Linked DNA regions of Drosophila melanogaster. The protein of the gene in region 1 interacts with the protein of each later gene in a pairwise test. Each region holds a gene or a part of one and is shown in the gene's direction. Other genes may lie near its edges.

Region 1 (7,548 bases):
GATGATCAGCACATCGAACTCGGTGATCAGCCCTTTGATGTACTGGTTGGAAAATTGAAGTGAGTTCATATTAAAGCACTCTACTTAAAAATGACTCTACTCACATCAGCCTTGTCCTTGTACCACCCACCGCCCAGTCTAACGCCAGGCTGATATCTTGATCCCTGCTTCTTTAGCACAATGCCCTCGGCGTGGGAGTCGAGTGCCTGCTGGAACAGCTCGTTGAACTCTTGAACGGAACCGATTTTGCGTGCACGCATCAACTGCAGCACACCCGACTGTTCAACTATGAGTTTCTGCAATTTGTACGCCCGCTGAATGTAGGTATGGTCCAGCAGACTCTGGCCATTAAAATATAGCAGATCGTACACCACGAAACATGGCTGCCAGCTGCCCTCCGGCTTCAGGCTCTTCACGTCCGTATTCTCGCCTTTTTCCCGAAAGCGCAGTTTGTTGGTATCCCACACCATCATCTCGCCGTCGAGTATGATAGACTCCAGACCCAGCGGCAGAAGTCCCCTCAGCTTTGGCGTTAAGGTGCCGTGATCGTAGCTGTGACCAAAGTTTCTGGTGTAGTCCACTCCATTGCGGGAAATGTACATGAAACGACCCCGATCGATGTGCAGCTGAAAGCGTTCGCCATCCATTTTGGTCTCCAGATAGAGCACATCCGACTGCATCAGCTCCTGGATGTCACCGGGGAATCGTTCGCACAGCATGGGACGTATCTGGTGGAATGGCCGTATGACGGAATTCAGGTTTACAAACTTGACCGCCGCCTTGCTGTCCTTGCTGCTGCTGGCGTCTAGGTCGGTGGTTCGGTCTGCCAGCAGATTGCACACATGTCCCAGATCGGAGCAGCGCTGGTAGATATCCTGCGCCTTGGGGTGCAGCACACCGAAAATCTTTTGCTCACCGATCCCCAGCCCGAGGCTCTTAAGCAGCAACCGAATTAGCCACTTCTGTTCCTCAGGCGAGGCCTGCTCCGTAAACCGGATGAGTTGCTGCTGCTTAACTGCAAAGAGCGGTCTCATTAAGACGTTCAGTCGTTCAGATCAGTTTAAAAGCGCCCACCTTCTGTGTCCTCGTTGGCAATGGTGTCCAGCATCTGATGGATTTCTTTCAGTCTCAAATTGCTGGGCGGATTAAAGCACCTTGGCTTAAGCACGGAATAAACAACATCACCGTAGTCCCGGTACATGTTTCCGTTGCGGTGCTGCAGCCTGATGGCATCGCTGGCTAGTAGAGACAACAAAGAGATTCTAAATAAGCCTAAATGCCATTGCCAATACGTTTCTGCACTCACAGTCCGTGGGTAGCTGGAGCACCCTGATGTAGAGCCTGCCCAGCGCGGTGATCTGCAATCCATAGGTATCCCGACCAGTGTCCGCACCCGGAAGCAGCAGTCGCAGCACGGAATAGAAGCTACTGGCACCGTCCTCCGGCTGGTCGTTGTTTAATCCGGTTTGCCGGCGAAAGGATTCGCGGTGGCGACAGAAGGACTCGTAGTAGCTCTTGAGGACCTCCTCCTTGTTAGCCACCTTTTGCGTGGCCTTAATCTTCTCGAACAGGCTGCAAATATCCCGGAACTTGATCGTGCTGGCTATATCTACGCTCATTTTGTTGTTTAAAAACAATATACTGTTGTAAACAATTTCATCACTGTGAACATCTGTTCAAGCAATGTGACCGCGCTTCTCAATCAAAGTTAATACCCATTTTAGACTAGTTGCAATATTAAGATGCGGACGTTAGTGGCAGAGATTATTTAATTTTTAAGCTCTTCTATTTGGCATAAAATAGATAAAATAGTTTATAGGAACAAGTTAAAATTAGCAGACTATATAAAATACCAAAATTAATCGATAGACTTCTATCAATAACCAAAAAGGCGGCAAATCGTTTGTTTTGGTTCGGTCCACAGTTATTGACTTTTGCTTCACGCTTGGCAAGTTATTCGAGAAAATGGGCAAAAAGGAAACGCGAGCGAGAAAACCAAAAGCTGATCCGGATGCGGAGGGATCTGCCAAGATGTGCAAGGCCTCGGCACTGAAGAAGGTGTTCTTCATGTCGGAGGAACTGCTGCCCAAAGATGCGGACGACGGACACCTTCGGCTGGAGATGTTTTTCCATCCCGGACATGGCAAGGAGGCACTGTTCATAACCCATCCCGATGGCAGAATGATGGAGCTGGTGGCGTTCACGGAACCCCGACGCAGTTGGTTCGTGGACAGCGAGGTCTGCTCCAACGGCAGAATCTACATGACCGCGCCCGTGGATCCCACGTTCCTGGCTCTTCATCACCTCCGAAAACATTGTGCGCAAAGTAAGATATTATCATTCGCTTTCGATGGTATACTATACTATTGTATTCTTGAAAATCTTTAACCACAATCAGGAGCAATATCGCTGGACAACATTGCCGTGGAGGAGGCCAGCACCAGTCGTCTGCTTAACGAGATCCTCGACCCAGGGAACCTTAAATGCGTGGCAGATGTGAAGAGCTCTGGCGAACAGAAGTTCTACAAGTACAACCAAGAGCGCACATTGGCTTGGTTGGCTCTGAAGACGCGCCAGGTGGCGAAGATCCTGAAGGAGAAGCAAGTCCACTGCGGCCACAGTGCGCAGTCGCAGAATTTCGTGCGAAGCGAGAAACTGGTAGCTGAGAACGTTAGCAACGAAATGGACTACACGCGCATGGCTTGCGATTATGTGGGACGGTATTTGGATGCGGATCTGCACGGCTTGCTCACCAGTTACCTGCACATTCCTAGCGAGATTCAGGCGATTGTTGAGGAGAAAGCAGCTTCTCAGAAGCGCAAGTCGGTGGCGGGCAAGAACGAGGGCAGCGACTCCAAGAAGATCAAGCTAAATGAGAGCGATGCTGCTGCCAAGCTAAAGTCCAGCGGTCTAGTGGACAGCGATGGCGATCCCAATGCCACCATCACATCGCCCACAGCGGCGCCTCTGAAGGAGCGCTCGCTGACCGCCAAGGAGAAGGCCCTGGCCAAAGGAGCCAAGGGCACTAAAAGCATCGCATCGTTTTTCAAAGCGAAGTAGATTAACGTTTCACAGATCTTAAGAATAGGTTTTAACTCCTTATTTTATATATATACTCTATTTAATACAAATGTACACTTTTTTTTACAATGAATATAGTACTTTAAAGAATTACTTTTGTTATTTTAAGATTTGTATTCATAAATTTGGTATTTTGAAAGTGCGCCTTTTTGGCGCATGCGCTGTTTGATCATCTCTCTTGATTCCGTTTGGTAAATCCCCATCAGCTGTTGGCGTTGCCAGGCTTCTAAGGAATTGGTTTACTTAGAGGCTTCAGTGCCAAATGTTGCGAATAAAGAGTTTCTTAGTCGACATATTTTTTTAGGTATACCATATAAGCATATTAAGTAATGCTAATTAAACATATGAAATCAGAGTATACTAATAAAACTAACTAGAAACGAAATTAATTTTTGGGGATTCATGCAACACATATGATTTCAATCCTTAGTTCATTGCGCGGGGTGGCAATCCTGGCCGTCAGTTACAAAGCTGCTGGCTCCTTTGTTTCCGTTTTTGTCGCTCAGTTGTTGCTGTGCGCGCTCCCACGTTCGAGGCTAACGGTGAATTCCGCTTTGCGCCTTGATTCGCATTTCGCCACCCCCGTTACCCATTCGCCCGCAACCGAATATCCTGCTACTCCTGCTCTTGTTGTTGTTGTTGTTTTCTATATGCCTTGAATTTTCGGAACAACAATTACAGGGGTTACATTAGTGAATTTTCCCGTTAGCCGTGTGTCCCAAAGCCAGTGCTCAAGTTTAAATTGTGAAAGGCAGAGAAAGGAAAAGAGTGGCGTCACACGAAAGAAAATTTTCTTTGGCGTCGTCGAGGTGTTTGTGCCTTAGTGTGTGTGTATGTGTGTGTGCGAATGTGTTGTGGTTGGTGTGGCATAAGATAAATAATACAATGCAGCACTCAGTTAGCAACAAATTCTCTCTTCTCTGCAGCAGCAGCAACAACAACGGCAGCAACACCAACAATCGCAACGCAACGCACAAAAGCATGCTACGGTAAATTGCATTTGGCGTCTGTCAAGGACAAAACAAAGCGCTGTTTGTGTGAGTCCGACCACAACAACAATAGCAACAACAGCATGTGGTACAAATAACGGAACTGCAAAGTATCAACAGCAAAAGAAGCAAGTAGAAAGCCAGATAGGAAAGCAAAACAAAAGACAGGAACAAATCGCACACGAGGGCCAAAACGGACACAAAACGGAGGCTGCGACAAGAAGAAAGCGAAGAATCGAAGAAAATAAGGGAGAGGCACACACTCCCCGCACCTCCTCCCCTCACCAGCCCCGTAGGACATTTGGCGCCAGTCCGAGCAGCAACTGCGACAGCGGCGTCGACTGAGGCAGCGTCAGCGGCTGAGAAAGATGTGGCTCCGTCCCTCTCCCTCGCACACAAACGCGCTGCAGTGTCTCCTGCTCTCCTTGTTCCTCCTTTTGGGGCTGCTGCCAGCGAACGTAAGTGCCCTTCATTTCATCAATGTTGCAAGCACTCAAACTAGCATAATAACCGAAAAACAACGAAATGTTATGCTGTAGTTAATTTTTAAGCGCATTTTACACATGTAAATTGTCAAGGTGATAAAAATCGCTTGTGAATTCATTTAAAACAAGACACTATACGTTTCACTGCATGCTTTTGGGAACCTTTGTATGTGCGAGCAATTTAAACTTTGGTTTTCAACACTGTAATATTTTGATTAAATACAATTATTGTGCGCTTGTTGCAATTTGGGCCCACGAAACGCCTTAAAAAAAGATAACAGCTAATCTTTGTAAAAAGTTTTTTAAATAAACGCAAGCGCATCCATGTTGCATGCACATTTGAATTTTAAATTGATTGCGATTGCTTTCCCAACGGTAATAAATGCATAGCACACAAACATAAATATGAGCACAAGAACAAGGGCGCAGTACAGTGGTCGCTCGCTATACAAAAACACCACAAAAATAACAAGCTGTTGTTTATATTCTTTATTTATTGGCAATGACAATTTCAAAGGTGTATCGACAAAAAGTGGAATACATTATTTTTTATCATAAAAAATGTGCAAATATTTCTCATGATTAAACGAATAATATATGCAATGTCTTGTTCCATTTTCCCAGGTGTCTGCCAGATTTTGCGAGGGCTGCACTCAGGGCTGTTGCACCCAGGGCTGCTGTCCGCCGTACCAGGGCGGGCCACGCCCCCTTCCGCCCTCCTCGGACTCGCATGTTCTCAATCTGTTCTTCGCCACCCACTGGTTTTTCTGGTGAGTAGTGTTGACCCGGAGAAACTCCTCCTTTTGGAAACTTCTCTGTCTATCTAACTTATCTATTCGAAATTGTAAAATAATAGGAATCTTTCGGAGACAGTGATTCTTTTAATTGCGCAAAGTAGAAGTGATTTATTTAGCTACTGCGATGGTCACGGTCATCATGAATTGCACTGTTTTTGTTTTTGTGTTTGGGGATTCCCCGGAGGTCGTCTGCAAGGCCGTTCAATGAGGCGGGTTTTTGGGGCGTTGGAATGGTGGGATGGATTGGATGGCGTGGGTTTTCAGTGTGCTCTGGCCGGACTTCCAGCTGATTGGCATTGTGTGCCATGCGAGAGATATTATTATTATTGGCAGAAAAGGTGGCGCCCAGCGACGGGGTTGCGTCAAGTCAAATGTCGAGTCAAGTCGAGAGGCTTATGCAAGCTGTACCCCCGTGCTATGCCACCACTACCATCAGTGCGACCAGCACATAGTACCGACCACCTCCCTTGGGGGCTGTGGAAATGGCAATGCCAACTAATGAGACACAAACGGAACCCGCACACCGCCACCCAGCTCATATAATCCCATCTCTTGGCCATCGAAAAGGCAAACAAATTTCAGTCGGAATTCGATTACGGGAACAGCAGGACACGGATCCGGATCCGTATCCGCACCCACATCCGCATCCACTACTCCAATGGGCTTCTTCATTCAGTCGCGCCAGCTGCAAACCGAGCAGTGAATAACGATCCTCACTTTGATATTACAAAGATTGATTGAAAATCTATATTCTTATTGCAGGTGCGTGGTTGTGGCCATCATCTTGGCCATCCTGTGTGCCTACTCACTATGGAAGAAGCGGCGGACACTATGCGGCTGGGGATTCAATGAGCACCACACCCAATCCGAGGGCGATTCCGCCGGCTCCTGCTATGCACCACCACAATATAGTCGCTGCAACTCGTTTCACCATCCGCCGCCGCCATATACGGAGGTAATGTAATCATATACATGACCGGAATCGATTCGCTTAACAATTTCCATCTTCTCAGGTGACCTCCAAGCCGGATCTGTATCCACTTGTCTTCACCTGCAACAGCGATTCGGGCAATGGCAAGGGCAACGGCAGCTCCAGCTACCTGATGGTGCAGTACTTCCGGAACTACATCGTCCGTCCGGCTGCCGGGGGATCCCTGAGTGCGGCCAGCACCGTCGACTCCCTAAGCTCCAGCTTCATTTGCAATGCGAATGAGGCGAATACCCTGGTGCCACCACCATACTCACGGGCAGCCAGTCCGGAGTTAGGACTGCATCATTATGTGGCCCATGCCCATGCGCATGCCAATGCTAATGTCAATGCCAATGCAAATGCCCATGGACACGGGAATGGCCATCTGAGATCTGTGGAACAACAGGCGCCATCGCATCAGGTGCCAAATGCTCCGCTGGCATCTGTGCACTACGCCATGCCGAGATCGGCATCCCAGCTGGTGGAAACGGATGCCTATCAGCCGAGACTGATGCCCGCCCAGACGCAGGCCCAGCATTATGCCACCGTGGCACTGGGCAGTGCACCGGGCGGAGCAGCGCTCTACAGCACGCGGCTGCATGCATCTCACGAGGAGGGAGTTGGCGTGGGCGTTGGTGTGGGCTACCTTCAGTCCCAGAGTGATCAGCACTTCCGGTATATGGCGAATAGCAGCAGCAGTCTCAGCGACATCTTTGTGAACAACAGCTGTGTGGCAGGTGGGTATTGTGATAAGGAATTTCCTATTAAAATACTTATTTATTGTTATATGATTTCTTGCAGGAATGCTACCCGAAAGCGGAGGAGCTGGTGGTGCCTTCCATGGCGCGGAAAGTGGATCGGCAACACAGGCTGCCTCCCTGAATAGCCTGGCAATGGGCGGCTTGGGAGGATCGGTAACGGGTGCCGCAGGCACATCGGGAGGATCTGGCACACCGGTGATATACAGCAATGGCTGCATCCAACCGAACCCGCTGCATAGTCTGGAGAACTGCTGCCAGCCATCGGCTCAGGTGTCCGGCGTGAGTAGTCTGGCCAACATTGGAACACCGGGCTCGCCGCCTCAGGCCACCAGTCCGACGGGCGAGGTGCGTGAGATTCTCGACCAGATCCGCCAGCTGCAGGCGGGCGTTAGCTACGAGCAGCTACTGCTGAACGGAACTGGCGCCAAGCCCCGGCTGCAGCATACGCTATCGACGCCCTCGAAC
Region 2 (8,883 bases), 2.4 Mb from region 1:
CTCTAGTTATCTTGTTAAGGAACATTTGTAACATTTGTGTGAACGTTCTGATTTTGTTTTAATTGCCTAGTCGAAAAAGCAAACACAAAGTGGAAAATTAAACAAAAGCGATGAGGATTTTTCAGCTTTTTGGAGAATGTATTCGAATATGTACCTACACATCCCACTGATGTGTGTATCTAAACCTACCACTGAAAACAGAAATTTAATGAAACATTTAAGTACCTTAACGAAGCTTCTAATTATAGCTACTGTGACCACGAACAAGAGTCAAATCAAAGCCAAGCCAAACAAAAATACCCCACTAAATGCTATATCACTCGCACTTCAAAGTAAGAGGTGCGAATTATAGATTGCATTGGGTCTATAGCTTTTGTATTCTGATCATGGTAGCGCATAAGTGTACCTACAGACAAACTAACATACATGCATACATACATACATACATACATACACCATTTGACACTTGCACACATTAAGAATTAGGCACGTTTTTTTCTTAGACGTATTAGAGTGTATTTGAATTAAACCAGAAACATTCAACAGAAAACGAAAAAAAAAGAAAATAAAAAACAAAACATTTTGTACTTTTATATATATGATGAGTATATACATATACATACATATATTCGTATACATGTATACATATGAATGCCTCTAAATGGTTAAACTCAACGGATTCTCAATGTATTTTTTGTATGTCTCAGAATGGTATGTCTCTGAATGAAACCAAATAACGAACAAATATTCATAGTGTTAGAAATTGTCTCACATGCCATTCTCTATAAGTACGAATATGGCACAAGTAAAAGCCCCAAGATGTATGCAATCTGCCAATCTATCCTTACCTGAATCTAAATCGTAGAGCGATATGGAATGGATATGGTTATAGATATGGATATGAAATTTGAAATGGAGAGTATTGGACGAGAATACGGGATGGCTGGCTTATAAGAACTATTCTATTGTGATTGTGATAACAATGTAAGGCACAGATAAGGAACGCGATACAGAGATGTGAAAAACCGCTGTAGAAATGGCAAAATATTCATATGTATATGTATATAGATGGGGAAATTTAGATAAAGTATCCGCCTAATCATCAATGTCCACCAACTTAAAATTTTAACTCGATCGAGATGAAATTGTATCCGACCGATCTAATAAGCAAATAATGAACCATTATGGTAGACACACAAATATACAAAAGCGAAAACAAAAAAAAAAAAAACAATAAAACCAAAACATATTTTACAATATGAGATGAATAAAATCCACACCAAGCAACATTTTAAAACACACTTAAAGAAGTCAACAAAAATCAAGAGATCAAGCCAGACGTAGAAACAACTCACTAACTAAAGTAAAGTGCGACATTGGTACATGTATTTAGCTACAAGGAGGACAACCAAAAAATTAGATATAATACAGCTTTTTATACCTCAGATATGTTTCTATATGTATGTAAATGTACGAAGAGAAATCTCTCACGCAATGCAAAGTAATAAAAACAAAAAGAAAAATAGGAAAATCAACTATATTTAAGCCCACTTATCTTCGATAAGGTTCATAAGTACAGATATTTTGATAGGTAGTTAGATGAAAACTCATTTACGAATGTAACTTTTATATATTTTTTTAGGTAACTTGTTTTATTGATATGCGATTTCCAACATAAATCTAAATGTGCATTACCAACCAGACTCTTGAATAGAATTTCCGAAAATTGGTTAGTGGTCACAGCTCTGGATGTTAGCGGAAATACAAATAGTATATTATGAAATATATGATATATGACATAAGTTTATCATAATACAACTGAAAAAGTATCAACGTATAAGCAACTGTACTTTCTATTATAAGTGTTATATTCTTTCCACGTTATCGGGCTTAAAAAAAGTTTATATGATAAAAGATATTTTCTCATGTGTGTCTAGATTTTACATATGGTATATTCCCAACTAAACACCAAAAATGGATATGAACTTTTATGTGATCTGAGTTCTACTGTTCTTTTCTGTTAAATAAGGCATATGTTTATATGTATGTATATTGAAAAGAAAAAAAAAACAACGTGAAAATTATAATTAAAGGCTGAGAAGTCATACATACATACATTCACTGCATATGTACGTATTATGTTTTAAACTTCAACTCGAATAGATTTTGGTACCGATTGATATATGTATGTACATATATGGCTTTCGTTGAACAGAAAAATCCGAAAGAGAAAGTAATTAAATTAATGCATATCAGTGATTACAATAACGATGTACATACATGCAAAACAATAACAAAATAATGTATATGTGTGACCTCATTAGCACACAATAATCGTGTATGTATATCTATTCTTAGTACCGAACTATTCAATCAATTTAAAACCCCTTACGTGTGTGAAAATAAACATAGAGGTTAATAATATAAAATGTATGTACTATGTATAGTAACAAATATAACTTCCATATGAGTATTTTTCGTATTACCTTTAGTAGAATAAAGATTATCGTATAATTAAAACGCATTGTTTATAAAAAAAAAACAGTGATCTGCTTCGATCACCGACTTAAACAATTGGATATTGTTAACAAAAAGCAAAAAAAAAAAAAATGCAAAAAAAGAGTTTGATGTTTTCTCCGCACTGTTGCATACTTATTCAGTATTCTGAGAACAGATGTCCTTTTACAAGATTAGTACTCACGGCAAAATAAAAGCTCAAAAACGGTACCTACGGGTACGTACCAAGGTAAATTAGTTGAGTACTTTTTACCTTACCTATGTAAATAAATAAATTAATACATTTTACCCTTCCTAGGCACGGATTTTGATTTTCACCGCGTACTCGTCGTGATTTTAAATTATTGAAATCGTTTCTAGATTTGGATTACTTTTTTATCCCCGTTTACGTATACGTAATATATTTAGATTTCAGGAATCGTAAATTAACAGGTATGAATTGAAATAAAAATAACTTTTACTTACCACCGCTTTATGATTATGTACACTTTTTAGCTTCTTGCTCAAATAAATTATTTAATTATATTTCCTTCCTTTGGCCGATATATTGAGAAATGCTATTTTTAATTTCACTTTTAACTCAGGTATGTATTAATGTACGCCCGAGTGTATAAAAACACAAAATGTAACCGTTTTAATCACCGGCGAAGGTAGAAAACGAAATGGAATTTAAAGCAAACGGGCGGAGAAGTAAAGCAGAACAAAAATGTTCGTTTTCGCCATTTTCTTTTTTTGGTCCACTTTTCAGGTGTATTTCATTTTGAAATTTATAGCAATACATTTTATATATATATTCGCAAAAAGTATTAAGCATACAAAAGTGGTTGTCGGGTTTTAATAAATAAGCAAGCATTATAAATATGAACTCTATATAACCGCGCTCAAATTTAAAACACAAATCAAACCGATATGCTCACTTACGCACACACACATATGTATGTACTTCTCCGCGGAAACGTGTGTGCGTGAACTATATAACCGCGCTCAAATTTAAAAAGCAGATCAAGCCGAGCTGCTTACTTACACACACACACATAAGTATGTACATATGTACTTCTCGGCACAAACGCGTGTGCGTGTAAATCACATAATTAAATCGTTTAAAGAAAAGTAATGAGTTAAAATGCGTTTAGCAGTGTGCGATCACTCATTGATTATCATTTTAACAAACTTTCAGTACTTTTTAATACCGAAAAACATTAAAACTGATTTAATTCATTTTGGCACGCCGAACCGCCATTTTTTCTATTACCGATGCTCGCGAAGGAAGAAAACGAACTGAACGAGGATAGGAGCTTTCAGATCGGACTTGAGCATGAGAGCGGCCAAGAAGAAGAGTGGTCCTAGATTAACAAAATGACCCATTTTCGCTTTAAAAACTATGAATTTCAAAGTCAGCTTTTAAACAAATTTGAAATGTAACGTAATTAATTCAGAGTGACCGCAAAAAACTAAAACACCTTATCGCTATAGCATGCAATCGAAAAGACGACTACTTTGTTAACTCTTAGGTCCATATCGATAGCCAAGCGCATGGACGCGATATATCGATACAATCGGTCAGTGGTTAAGACAGCTCTACTGCATATTATTTTGTTTTCTTTTAACGTTAACATTTCATTTAAATATTATTTTAGTTTGTAACACTCCCGCAAATAACTATAAAGTGAGTGCTAGTGTGGAAAGAGAAACATTTATTATTTTTCCAAAATAATTGCTGAATTTAAAGCGGGTGGGGAAATCGGACAGAGTTGAAACGAGAGAACGCTCTACATTCTCTATTATCAATGCTACCATAGACCATGTACCGGCGCACTTGTTAAAATGACTCTGACTTCACCTTGACTAAAGTACACATAATGTACACACATTGCAGTGGTAGAGATGGCGAATCGGGATGATAACAGTTACTGATTTTATTTTCCAGTTTTCACCCCATATCGCTCTATATACATATATACTCGCCAGATCCTACATAAATCGAAAATGCTTAAGCTACGTAATCTATTGGCCGTCGGCAAAAGCAACAACAACGCTGTCCGGTAAGAAAAACAACATGAATATACTATAAAAAATGAACACAAAAATTGCCCACAGCTGAGTCCATTTACATATTTGATCAGTGTTGCCGAGTAGGCACAGGTACCTGTACCTGGATATCAGCTTGTGGCACTTATTAATTGCCCAGATTCGTGGAATCCAAATGAAATATAGGCAATGAATATATACTCGTATATTCAAATTTTTTAGATTGAAATAACAAAATTAATTCTTAATTCTTACTTATTTATATATAAATAACAGTATTTATAAGGATCTTAAAATAATGATATTTAATGGTATTCATATTCAATTTTCCTCCAGCCTAGGGGTTCATTTTTATTAACATTATGTTTTTCAACTACTAGTCATTTTAAGTCTTTTAGATTAAATATATTATTCACGAATTCCCTAAACTCATGTTATTAAATTTACGCAGAGTAGTTGTTGCTTACTCATTTTCCAAGCCGTCATACTTAGCATTAAGAGTACCTACCAGGTACCGTCCTTGTAGGTACACAAATCGCGTACCCTTTCCAGCACTAGCATTCACACTCCTACACGTTAATATGTATGTTTGGTTCCAATTTCGTACGTATACATCCATACATAAATGAAAATGCCGTTGCGACGTCAGCAAAGCAAAAACGTATACAAAAACAAAATAAACACGACGGTGCGAATTTTAGTTACCCTTCATGTATGAAATGCCGTACTATATATGCATTTTGTATTTTTAAGTTATGAATACATTTGCCCCTGGAAAATTCGAAAAAGTTAATAATACGCAGGGGTAGCTTTTCTTAATTTGTAAGTTCAGTGTAAAGGAAATAGCGTTCTCCTTATTTATCTATTTTTTGCCCACGGTCCAATTCAATTGGCCTACTTATAGCTAATATTGATAAGTGGCCTTCCAAAAATTGAATATTATATCTTCGATCTGAAAGATAGACTTATTAAAAACGTTATCTAGAGAGTTTGGACTTAGAACATATCATTTAAAAATGTATTTTTAGGTATTACCAATATATCTTACCTTATACAGAATACAATTAAGATATTGTAAGTTTATTTTGTAATTGTTTATTATGCCAACCTTTTTAAATTACCCATTATTGATACTTTTAGCTCTCTGTCCACCACTCCGAGCCGCAACGATTCAGAATCATGGTTCTCAAAACTGCTCGTTCGGAAAATAGAACCAACCAAGGAGTCGCACAGTCGAATGCTCAGCGATAAGGAAATCATATATGCCCTTCATACCCACAACGTCAGGCCCGATTCCATGGGCAGCTACTTAAATAACTAGTAAGTGACTGAAATTTAACGTCCTTAAAAGGTGCCTAAAAGAACTAAATAGGTGCAGAGTACTCAAAGCTAAAGAATAAACATTGAAAGCGTTGTCCATTTTCGATAGCATACTTTCAAACACATTTCCGGGTGGTTTTAAATCCCGAAAGTAGCATAGATTGTTAAAAGTACCCTTACCTTTTACAGCAAAACTACTGTCGCTTTGATCAACGAGAAGAAGGCAAACCTTTCCTGCGAATTGGTGGCATCATGGACGGTTCAAGTGGGCGACATGGATCAGTGCCTGCACCTGTGGAAGTACACAGGAGGCTTCGAGAAGATAGATCAGGCCAAAGAAGACCTTTGGAACGATCCCGAGTATCTTAGCTTGATGCAGGAGCGTTCCAAGTTCTTGCGCTCCCGTCATCTGCAATATCTCTTGGCATTCAGCTACTGGCCGCAAATTGCCAGTCGTACCGGCAAGAACATTTACGAAATGCGGTATGTTGCAGAGTATTTTCAATTCAAAAATGCATAGCTAAATTAACCCAATTGTCTCAGCTCATACCGACTGACACCTGGCACCATGATTGAGTGGGGAAACAACTGGGCCCGCGCCATCAACTATCGCAAGCACAACAACGAAGCATTCGCCGGATTCTTCTCGCAGATCGGAAGACTGTACAATGTTCATCACATTTGGTGTAAGTGATAGATAGTATAATTAAAAGATTTGAGTAATTTGAGTTTCATTGCCAAATACGTTTAGAATGGTTTAAAGGATATTTTAAGCCACTAGCAATTTTTGAAGCCATATTTTTATATAAGCTGTAAAGCAAACATTAATATTTGCTCTTCTTTTCAAAATAGGTTACAAATCTCTGCAAGACCGTAAGGAGACCCGGGAAGCAGCCTGGCGATCCCCCGGATGGGATGAGTGTGTGGCCTACACGGTGCCATTAATCCGCGAGATGCACTGCCGTGTCCTGGCGCCCACTGAGTTCTCGCCCTCACAATAATTAGCACTGGGTGTTGCACTTTCTAGCGTTCTGAGAAATTGAAGTTCATCGACGATTGGACAAATTAGCTGTGAAAACACCGAGAACGCATCTTCGCCTATTTTCCTGTTGAATAGTTATTGTAAATAATGCCAGCTACATATGCAATCATTTAATTTTTTTTTTAAGTATAATTAAGGTCAAAGTGGAAATTTCTATCCAACATTTTTACGAACCTCTATGTGTGTATCGCCTACGACCTTTGAATTTAACAAAACCAATTTTGTTTTTATAAAATAAAGCAATTATGAAACTGTTATAAGTTAGTTTTTAAAACAGATCCCAAAATATAGTAAATGGTATTGGATATTAATTGAAACATCTCTAATAAAATGCAGAACCACCCAATTCCGTAATTACAAACAGCAAAATAATAGGTGATGAAAAAGTAGTATACCGCATAAAGTTTTAATCAGATCGTTGTTTTCTTGAAAAAACTTGTTATCCTGTGAATTAGTGGTATAACATAATAATAACGTATGATACATTTGATTTGCCTGCTTAGTTGCTCAAACTTAATTAATGCACATATTCTATGAACTTTTAAAAGTCACAGAAAATTAAACGAAATATTTTGCTATCCCCGCCAGTTTCTTAACTCTTTAAGAGGCATCATATAACATGTGTGCGATATTTCAACATCATCACTAAATTAACTAGAAAAAAAGTTCGAGAAACTTTTTTTTTTAAACCATTGGGTTTTTGGCTCTTAGGAATCTGGAATTGTTATTATGTCATCTTTTTGCCTAATTAATTCAATTCTAAACAAATTTTTAAGAATATTTGTCCAAACAAATTTAAAGTCTTATACACCGTAGGCACTATAACAAAAATATGTAATGAAATCACCTTCTGATTCTCAACTTTAAAACTAAAACCGTTGTTTAGAACCAGCCAATCTCGTTTATACCTAATATTATTGGTTAATTGTTTGTGAAAATCGAATGGCTATGGGGTTTTCCGCAGTCCCTTCTCAGATTAAAGCCTCAGAAATGTCGATTTTCGGTTTTCAGGCAAGTGAAGAGGAAAATGAGTACAAGGAGATGACCCAACATCGCAAGGGAATAGATTTCGGTTCTTGAACCAATATTGTGCTGAACAGCTGCGGGTAGTTCGCCTGTAAAGATATATATAACATATCAGGGAAATGATTTTCACGAAACTTCAATCACTAATTAATTACCTGTGAGCACTTGAACTTGGACAATTACGGTGAACAGTCTGCCAAGGGAACAGGAATAGTTGCCACTATCGGATAGTTTGGCATCTCCAATGGAGATACGACTGGTTAGCCAAACATCGGAAACGCTGCAATACACAGGACACAGTATATAGGAATTCCGACTTGCATCGTTTGTAATCTACCTTAAGCGCCTATTGGTCATTCCTTGCAGTGGTTCTTCGTCCTTTGCCCAGGTTATAAACTTGGTGAAGTATTTCTCCAGATCCTGGCCAGAGAACTTGTGTTGCGTCTGATTTACGTTGCCAATTAGATTAAGCTCACTAGTCGTCTCATTGATTAGTTTCTGTACAGCATCGTTTGCAGAATCGGTTGATTTTAGAATGGTCTGACGTTCTTTTTGGAAAAAGCTACGCGATATTTGGCATTGTAGATCGACGGTGCTTCCAGACTTATAATAACGATCCCCCACGTCCCTCTCGTGCTCATCGATTATCCTCAGGGGGGGTTCTGAAAGCGGAAAACTTGCCATGTAGGATTCGTTATAAGGTTAGAATTGGTGGTATCCATACCCAAGACAGTGAGATTTGTGGTGAATACCCGGGGGGGATGGGTGGAAACCTGGCACATGTAAACTCCGGCATCTTCAGTCTGCGTGGGATTGATAAGTAATCGCCAATTGTTCGGGTACTGGAACTTCACCCGAATTCTCGGGTCTCCACTGTAGGTCACGTTGCCAACGGTCAGGAGCGATACCTTCTCTGCCGTTCGCCTGACCCACATGACCTGGAAGTTGGA
Region 3 (8,237 bases), on another chromosome or scaffold:
CGCCTCTTTTATTTTATTTGTGGGTGGAGCCTGATAAAGAGTTAATTTAATGATTGGCGAATTAAATTCGGCAAAATTATGTGACATTTTCTTTTGTTTTCATACTCTAATTTAATTTATTACAGTTTATTTTTAAACCGTGCTTGATAATTTTGTACACTGGTAGATTAATACGATACGATATAATGAAAACGATTAATATTAAGTGTGCACATATGTTGTCAAAATCAATTTAAAAATTTTTTAATTCCCAATAAATTTTTGGAGCTGAGCTTCAGCATTGTATCTGTGAATATGCCAATGTTCCCGTCAATAGCATTCAATAGTTCGCTGCATTTAGTTCAAGATAATCTTTTCCAACTAAAAGCTTTGGATGCTCAGCTCAACCGAGCTTAGCTTAAACTAAACTAAGCATATATTCTATCTATGGCCACTCCTATGGAATTGTCACCCTTGGCTCGTTTACGCCCCACTGAGCGCCGACGAGCGATAGATAGATCGAATCAATCAATTAAATGCAAACTGCCCAAATTAATTGAAAATCAGTCGAAATCTGAGGCACTCTCTAAACGGTCGTGTGGCGTGTTGGAAAAAAAAGGGCGAAATATAATGCTGCACGGCGATCAAGATAAGCCCAAAATGGCAAAACGATCTGTGGGATACGCCCTCAAACGCAGGAATGATCGTTTTGTGGTCGAGCCCATCGAGGGAATCGTGAATCCAGCCTACGAACCCGATCTTGGTGGAGATACATCCTCAACCAGTGACATCAATCGAAAATGGCAAGTATAACAAGCAATAAAGTTTTCGGGATGGGCTAATGTGAAGTGTGTGTTGTGTTATTCAAATTATTGCAATCGAATAAAAAATAAAAAACATTTAATATTGTTGGCAGAAATCTAAATTCTAAATCTACTTACTTCTATTTAATATACTTTATAATCTGCTATTTATTTTTGTTAAATTTAAATTAAGGTTAACAACTCTAACTTAAGCTAGAAACCCTTTACGTGTTTAACCTTGGGCCTCTTAGCTGGCGGGGCACAGGGATAGTCCTCGATGATAGTATTCTGGCCGGGCAGCAAGATAGAATACTCGCGGCCAAATTCAACAGGCGATTCCTTTTTGGGACTCAAAAGGCGCTCTCCGATGTCCTGATCGGAATTAAGGGCTGGAATGACTGAATAGTTCGCTGTAGTGGCGCCATATAGCTTTGGTAGACTTGTACCGGGAACCATGTCGGGATTTCCCTCGGTCACCTCGTCCTCAGTGGGTACCACTGTCTGACTGGGCAATTGTTCCAACCAATTGGCCATGCGTTGTTCAGGTTCCAGCTCCTTCCCCTTTATACGCTCATCGAACATTTCTCTTGTTACGTCTCGTGTGGTGTCGTACTCCTCCATATCCCACACGTCCAGCAAACGGGTCGACATCATGTCCGTGTAGTGGGACAGCTTGTAAGCGGATTTCTGCCAGGGACCGCGACTGATGCTCTTCTGCTTTTTAACATTTCTCTTACTGGCAGCTTTCCTTTTGGGTTGCCGTTTTGGTTTCACCTTGGTTTTTTTCTTAGGCGTTTTCTTACCACCTTTCTTGGATTCCGAAGGTTCTTCCTTTACCTTTTCAGAGGCTGGGCTTTCATCTTCTGAAACATCAGTATCTTCTATGCCATAGTCAATTTCGATTTCCTCTACGATTAAAGGTTTTTCTTCAGGTTTTGATCTTTTGGCACCATCTCGAAAGATGTCTCTTATCTCTGGTATCGACTGGACTTGTGTGCAGCGGATGTTCTCGCGTTGGACGCGCTCATTAACGGCATTGGCAAGGTAGCGAATGGCTTCCGTTGTATGAGTTCCGGTTCTGATCTGCTGGACATGCTCCTCTTCATCCCTAAGCGTTAGTCTTTGGCAGTAAACATCTCCCAAGCTGTTGGAGGTTAGCAACTGGGTAAAAGCTTGATCACTGGCCCCCTCTAAGCCAATAAAGCGCATTCCTGTAATGCAGGTCGTTACCCGCTCTGCTATATCAGCATAGACATCCACAAATCCTCCCAAGCGAGCATCTATTAAAGCTTCTTCCAGGGTTACCGGCGCAAATGGTATTGCCGGCGAGAACATTTCATCGACACTTTTTGCCTGAGCTCCTTGCAGTTCACAAATTCGCAAATCTTTGGGTAAGAGTCCACCTAACGCAATATATTCACTGTCCTGGTGAACGCTTGTGTCAATAAAACAGGGTGGATAGGTCATCTGATGCGTCCAGGTGACGACAGCTCGATCGGTCAGCTTTTTACCCAAGCATCTGATATCCAAACAGTGGAAGTTGTGATTACTAGCCACATACAAGAGATTAGGATTCACACCCTTGGCCAAACAAGAGAACCTCTCGCAAGCTTTTGAGTGAACGCCGCTGGCAAAGCAGGGATTCAGAGGCAGATTGCATCGCACATCTACGGTAAACAAAACTGGCTGTGTTAGGCAGTGAAAGGTGCTTTCCTCTGCTTGCTTTAACTGTGCCCAGGTACTCGAGGTTTTCTTCAGTCCTTTTAGCAAGCAAACATCAAGCTTGGCTATATCCTGTTGTGTCGAAATATCCACGAAGCGCAAAGACCTATCCTGGCTAGCTAAGGCCAATGTATTGGCATTGGCCAATGATTGTGCAGCGCTTGTAAAAGGAGCTACTTGACTGCTAAACATGCAATGGCGAATGAGTTCGTAATCTGAATCCGAATCCTGTTCGTCTTTGCATTTAAGTTCGTATAGGGAAACCTCCTTCAGCAACCGTGCCAGGAACATTTGACTGCGATTTAAATTGTGGAGCGGAAGAAGTTCAAAGACTTCGCTGGAGGATTCCTCTATCGTAGCCGAATGCAATGGTTGCCAAAACTCCGCCTCACCATAATCTCGGGAAAAGTGCAAATCTCTGAGCTTATTACCGCTGACATGCATGGCCAGCTGATCGTTTCCATCAAACGGAATCGTGTTTAGGTTTCCGCCTGTGTAGTAGTAATCGTAGCTGTCCCTGAAGAAGGAATTCTCCTGTTGGGCTATGTGCTCAGCCATCTCAAACAGACTGGCATCGTGTACACCTTGCTCCTGCTTCTGTACACGCTGTCTCATATTTTTAAGTCGCCTATCAAATATAGCCTTGCCTAATTGCAATTGCCGTGTCCAATCGTCGTAGCGGAATGGCCTTTGGACGCATGCCTCCACTCGGGGAGTTTGTCCATCCTTTGCCAGGAAGAGGGGTAGCGGCACCGTAACCGAGCAATTTGGCAAGTCCTGCTTCGGATTATCCTGATGATCGTACAAGAGTTGGCCCAACATTCCAGTGTTCAAGCCGGGATAAGAGAAGTGCGGCGCATTTTCCAAAATGCTGCGCAGATTATCTGGCTCATTGTTATCCTCAGCATCTTGATCCGGCGGAAGATCATCTTCGGAATCGGATTCGTTGTCACTAGTTTTGGTCTTGACCTGGGCACTGTATTTGGCCGAATTGAGAGCTGTTTGATAGCGTCGCGGCATGTCTGTAATTGGAGTATAAATAAGAAATCGGATTTTGCTAGCTGGCCGATGTGTTTTGATGCATGTGAGCCTGGCTTACGGATTTCTTCGATCAGCTATCCAGTTCTGCACGAAAGAATTTAGTTAACAAATTGAATTTGACTCAATCAAACGCCAAACGCACGACGTTTCCTCTGGACGCAAGAAACAGCTGATTAGTGATGGGTATTTATGTCTACCCAACCGCATGCTTGCTGTTATGAGCATTACAAGCAAAATATTCACAATATATTAAAATAATATAGGTTTTGGATTATCTATTACATTACATTGGAAGTGCAAAAATGTAACATTGAAAAAAAAAGCATCGTAAAATACCTTTTTAAAGAAATGTAAAGGTTTTAGACACCAATAATAAGTAACATTTACATTTTTAAGTCAAAAATATTTAAGAATCCGATGTTTTGATAAGCGACGATGTATCGCTGGTCGGCGATACTATTTCTAAAATATCGGCTAGCTCGATAGCACCTATATGAAAACATCGATTCCCGATGCATCGATGTTTCTCCCCATCACTATCAAATTTGCTTTGCGCTGCATCGAGACCGAGAATTAAAGACTTGAAAGCAGCTGGAGAAATTACAAGAAATTGATCCCCGAAAATTACTGGCAATCGCGAACAGCGGGCGTGTGTGTGTGTGTGCGTGCGCGCGAGAGCGAGAGAATAAGTGAATGAAACAGAACGAGCACAGAAATTACACAAGTTGTAAAAGAAAAGGTGAAGAAAAAAGTTGGTCGAGACCGAATATTGATTTTTTCATAGACAGTGCAGTTAAAACAACGGTCTCTTTTTGTTAGCCAAAAAGAAGGCGTTGGTAAAAAGCGGTAGTAGTTTTTATCTCAATTTTGAGGCCTACAAAAGAATAGAAGAAAAAGCAACGGAAAGCGTCAGGTGAGTTTTTTAAATCCAACCACGCACACACCTGCACTCACACCTACACTACCGCACACAACGGGCACAATTAACATACATACAAGTGCCAAACAGACAACAAAACAAATGCCAATTGGAAAGGTGTGAAAGAGAGGGGCGGGTCTGGAAGATAACATTAACCAGTTCTAATCCTACTCCCCTCCCTCTCGCTCCGCTTGCATTTGTTTTGTTGCAGTTATCTATTACTCTTCCCTCTCTCTCTCTCTCTCTCTCTCTCTGTCTTATCCTGTCTCTCTCTCTCTGCGCTCGCCCCCATTAAAAAGAAAAGAAAACACACTGCCTCATCTAAAACTTTTCATTTGCATCCCAGTATCTGTTTTTCAATTAGCACTATTGTATATTTTGCGCACTCTTCTTTTTACTTAGTTAACAGTTAGTTGTTGTATGCACGTTTTTGTCGTTGTTGTTCTTGTTGCTCGCCATATCTGTACTAATTCATCCATTTATGATGTTCGTTTTTATTCGTTATTCGTTTTTTTTTTGTGTATGTTTGGCTTTGGTTTCGTTTGGGTTTTCCTCGCTTTTCCTAACTGCTAATTTTTGACAAAACCCAAATGGCTTCTGGCTCTGACGTAATGGACCCCTGCTGCCCTCCCCTTCGCTCCATTCCGTCTCTCTTCCTCTTTATCGCTCTCCCTCTCTCGGAGCTGGCGCTTTTCCACTCTAAACGACCTCCAGAAAACTTCGCCGCAATCATTTCAGCAGCTGCCACAGTGAAGCCTGTGTGCTGAAAACCAAGTTATGCCAGTAAAAAAAAGTGCGGTTGCATGTTGTCCTGGGATTCTAAATTAGTAGGTTTCCTTGATTCCTACACCTTTTTTCCATATTCTGAATTGCAATTAAGTTAAATAAGAAATTTGACGATCTAGGCAATTCGCAAAAAAACCTCAAATCAACTTCGAGTTGATTTTCTAGACAATAGTCGACCAATTTTCCTAACTAAACAAAGGAAAAGCGAAATGGAATAATGGGGTTGTTCATTAAAAGCGACTTGACTGTTATCTCTAATAGTTGCCCTAATTGGTTTACCTATTGGCAGTGTTTACTGTTCCTGCAGACATTTGTTATTCGCTGTTTTGTGAAATTTTATTGCTTCTAGCGGTTTTTGGGTGTGGAAATGAATGGGTGAGGACTCCACTTTAACGGCTCTACTGTAACCTGTCGGCGCCATCGCCATGGACAGGATTTCGTCTCGTCCTCCTGAGTATCTGAGTCCAGTACATACATGTATGTATACGTATCTATATCTGATGTTTAACTTTCCTGCATGTTTAATGCGTAGGTCAGTTTACTCAGAAGGCAAACACAATAAAAAGTTCGCCGCACAAATTGCTTTTGGCGCCTTGTTGCTGCTCCTGTTGTTGTTCTTGTTGTTGTTGTTGTTGACGCTCTTGTTGGCCACTCAGGTGTTTACCAACTTCCCTGGCACCTTCTCCCTTTTCTGCCCTTGGTCTGCTGCGGCTCTGTTTTTATGTAACTTTCAAATCGATTGCAAACACGTAACAGTAGGGCAACCTGCGCCGCCCCTCATTGCCCCACCGTGCCACGCCCCTAGCCTCCCACCTACCCAACTGATATTCTCCCATATCCTGCAACAACACGCTCTGACGTTGAGCGTGTGATTTGGTTCGTTTCGGCTGTACGATTTTTTTTCCTGCTGGCCTGCGGCTTGACATAGCGTGACATTTCCTGTATGTGATTTGCTGCCGTTGTCGGTGCCCCAGAACCCCTGCCACGCCCCCTACCGATGGGGTATCTTGTCTCTCCGCCCCCCAAAGAACATTTGAATAATTTCTGTTTTGCAAATTTGTACCCCCTCCCACATCGGAGGCGATATCCTTGAAGGACTCGGACAAATTGCAGTCAATACAATAGTTGAGCAAGTATTTTTAGGGGCAGCAGAGAACTTGTTGTTAGCCACCTTCCAAGGAAATCGAACACTGAAAGATCTTACAAAAAACAAGAGCCATTAAACGTATTAAATGATAATTTAACAATGAATTATGTATGTAACTACAGCAGACTTCCTTTAAAATTATCTCTTTTCACGTCTAAGTAGAAAAAGATACATTTAAAGCAAATCAAAAGCTCAAGGATTATGTAAATCACTTTTGTTCTCAGAAGAAAAAAAATCGTAATTATTTAGTCTTCTGAGTCGGTAAATCCGAAGTAGCATTGAATCCCAATCAAGTACACAGTTCAGCAGTAGATTGAGTTCAGATTGCTGTCTTGAGCTTCGGTTTGTTGTTGCCCGTTGACCTGCCAACGGTTGCCGTGGGCGACCTGCCAAATTGTCGATATTCCGTGCGCTCCTTTCGCTCCGGGCCGGAAAAACGGAAAAGCCAGGGCACGTCGTTCGCCTGTCGCCGTCCCACTCTAGCCGATGGCTAATTTCAATGGCTCCACGCTGCTTGCACCTCAAGCTCCTCCTCTGCACTCTTCACGTGCAATCGCAATTATGAATAATTCGCCATAAATGGCACACGCTGGGCTGCAATTATTGGAATTGAAGTGGCCCAGATGCCGCTGATAAATCGCTTGCCACCAATAAGCCTATAGTACATTATACATTACTACATTATATGTACATATATATGTAGAAATATGGCGCTAGGCCCATTATATCATATACCATTTCGTGTGGTCGAGGTGAAAAGTGCAAGCGCAACTTTATCAGCGCCCATAAATCGAGCAGCAAAAGGTCAAAGTTGAGCTAGACTAACAGCTTTTTTAGTGGCGAAGGATGGCCGCGGAATTTGCGAGTGCCCATGTACTTGGCAACTTTAAATGCGGTGTCATTTGTGTTTAGGTTTTCAGACTAGGGCAACAAATCATTGTTGTTTTTGTGTGATTATTCATCAGTTATATGGTTGATAAAACCAGTAATTATGCCATAAAAGTTGGTCATTTTATTTGATCAGCTGAAATCAAGCATGTTCCTTTCAATAACAGTTGATAAAAGAATTGTCTTGTATGATTTCACTGTACTTACTTACTTAACTTAGTTATTTGTTTAACCAAAGATAAGGCTTGATGAGATGTTTCGAAAGATATTGGAGAGTCAAGAATCCAGTTTGAATCGCAGCTACCAAGATAAGATAGCTGGAAACCATAAAAGCGATGCATCGTTCCATTTGGAAGTCACGACTTATGCCATTCTCTTCATTTTACGTCGTGATTTTATGACTAAAGTTTCAATTCGAATGGCTAAATTATGCAGTTACCATTGCAGCTAAATGAGCAATAAAATACTTAAGTCGTTGGCTTTTGAATAATAAAACTCTAGAACAACTCTGGCTCGGCATCCCAAATCATCCGGCTTGTATACATTTTGCTGTATGTTTACCCTGGAGCCACATTCATCATACGCACTGAGGTCCCAGCTCGGAAATGAATTCAAATTGCTTGGCTTGACTGGGTTCTAAAACCTAAGACGCAAAAAATAGTAGCCATAACGAGTTTTGTTTTGTTTATCGTTTGAACTTATACACTTGCCCAGTGACCAACCAGTACATAACATGTATATAATTATCTGTATCTGGAGCTGCGTCATAGCATTTGGAGTGCTTGAAGCGTTTGCATTTGCTTCGTTGCTGTCCGGTGATTATTAGTTGATAAATTCGAGCCGCATGACGCACTTAATCAGTGCAAAAAAAAAAAAAAAAAATACTACACGACGAACGAGAACGGGAGGAGGAAAAGATGTGTGTGGCCTCCCGGGGATGTGTGAAATTTTC

The links. The genes of interacting proteins can lie anywhere in the genome.
Region 2: the proteins of CG11164 (region 1) and Nipsnap interact in a two-hybrid assay, tested with the Drosophila melanogaster proteins (one large-scale study listed by BioGRID).
Region 3: the proteins of CG11164 (region 1) and MESK2 interact in a two-hybrid assay, tested with the Drosophila melanogaster proteins (one large-scale study listed by BioGRID).

What each region holds. Positions count from the first base shown.
Region 1 is NC_004354.4:13,666,122-13,673,669, forward strand, and holds CG11164 (uncharacterized protein), read left to right. Parts: upstream 1-1,892; 5' UTR 1,893-1,965; coding exon 1,966-2,326; intron 2,327-2,398; coding exon 2,399-3,060; 3' UTR 3,061-3,452; downstream 3,453-7,548. Other genes in the region: DNAlig4 (DNA ligase 4), read right to left, coding at 1-42, 105-1,015, 1,075-1,239, 1,307-1,619; CG15760 (uncharacterized protein), read left to right, coding at 4,439-4,528, 5,180-5,325, 6,115-6,307, 6,366-7,059, 7,124-7,548.
Region 2 is NC_004354.4:16,068,703-16,077,585, reverse strand, and holds Nipsnap (nipsnap), read left to right. Parts: upstream 1-4,017; 5' UTR 4,018-4,076; exon of another isoform or gene 4,077-4,154; 5' UTR 4,155-4,183; intron 4,184-4,303; exon of another isoform or gene 4,304-4,485; 5' UTR 4,486-4,503; coding exon 4,504-4,559; intron 4,560-5,685; coding exon 5,686-5,865; intron 5,866-6,054; coding exon 6,055-6,348; intron 6,349-6,408; coding exon 6,409-6,551; intron 6,552-6,717; coding exon 6,718-6,866; 3' UTR 6,867-7,221; downstream 7,222-8,883. Other genes in the region: dpr18 (defective proboscis extension response 18), read right to left, coding at 7,892-8,022, 8,089-8,213, 8,271-8,595, 8,658-8,871.
Region 3 is NT_033778.4:21,498,022-21,506,258, forward strand, and holds the start of MESK2 (misexpression suppressor of KSR 2), read left to right. Parts: upstream 1-4,075; 5' UTR 4,076-4,458; intron 4,459-8,125; exon of another isoform or gene 8,126-8,237. Other genes in the region: CG46395 (uncharacterized protein), read left to right, coding at 610-792; TAF1C-like (TATA box-binding protein-associated factor RNA polymerase I subunit C-like), read right to left, coding at 996-3,524.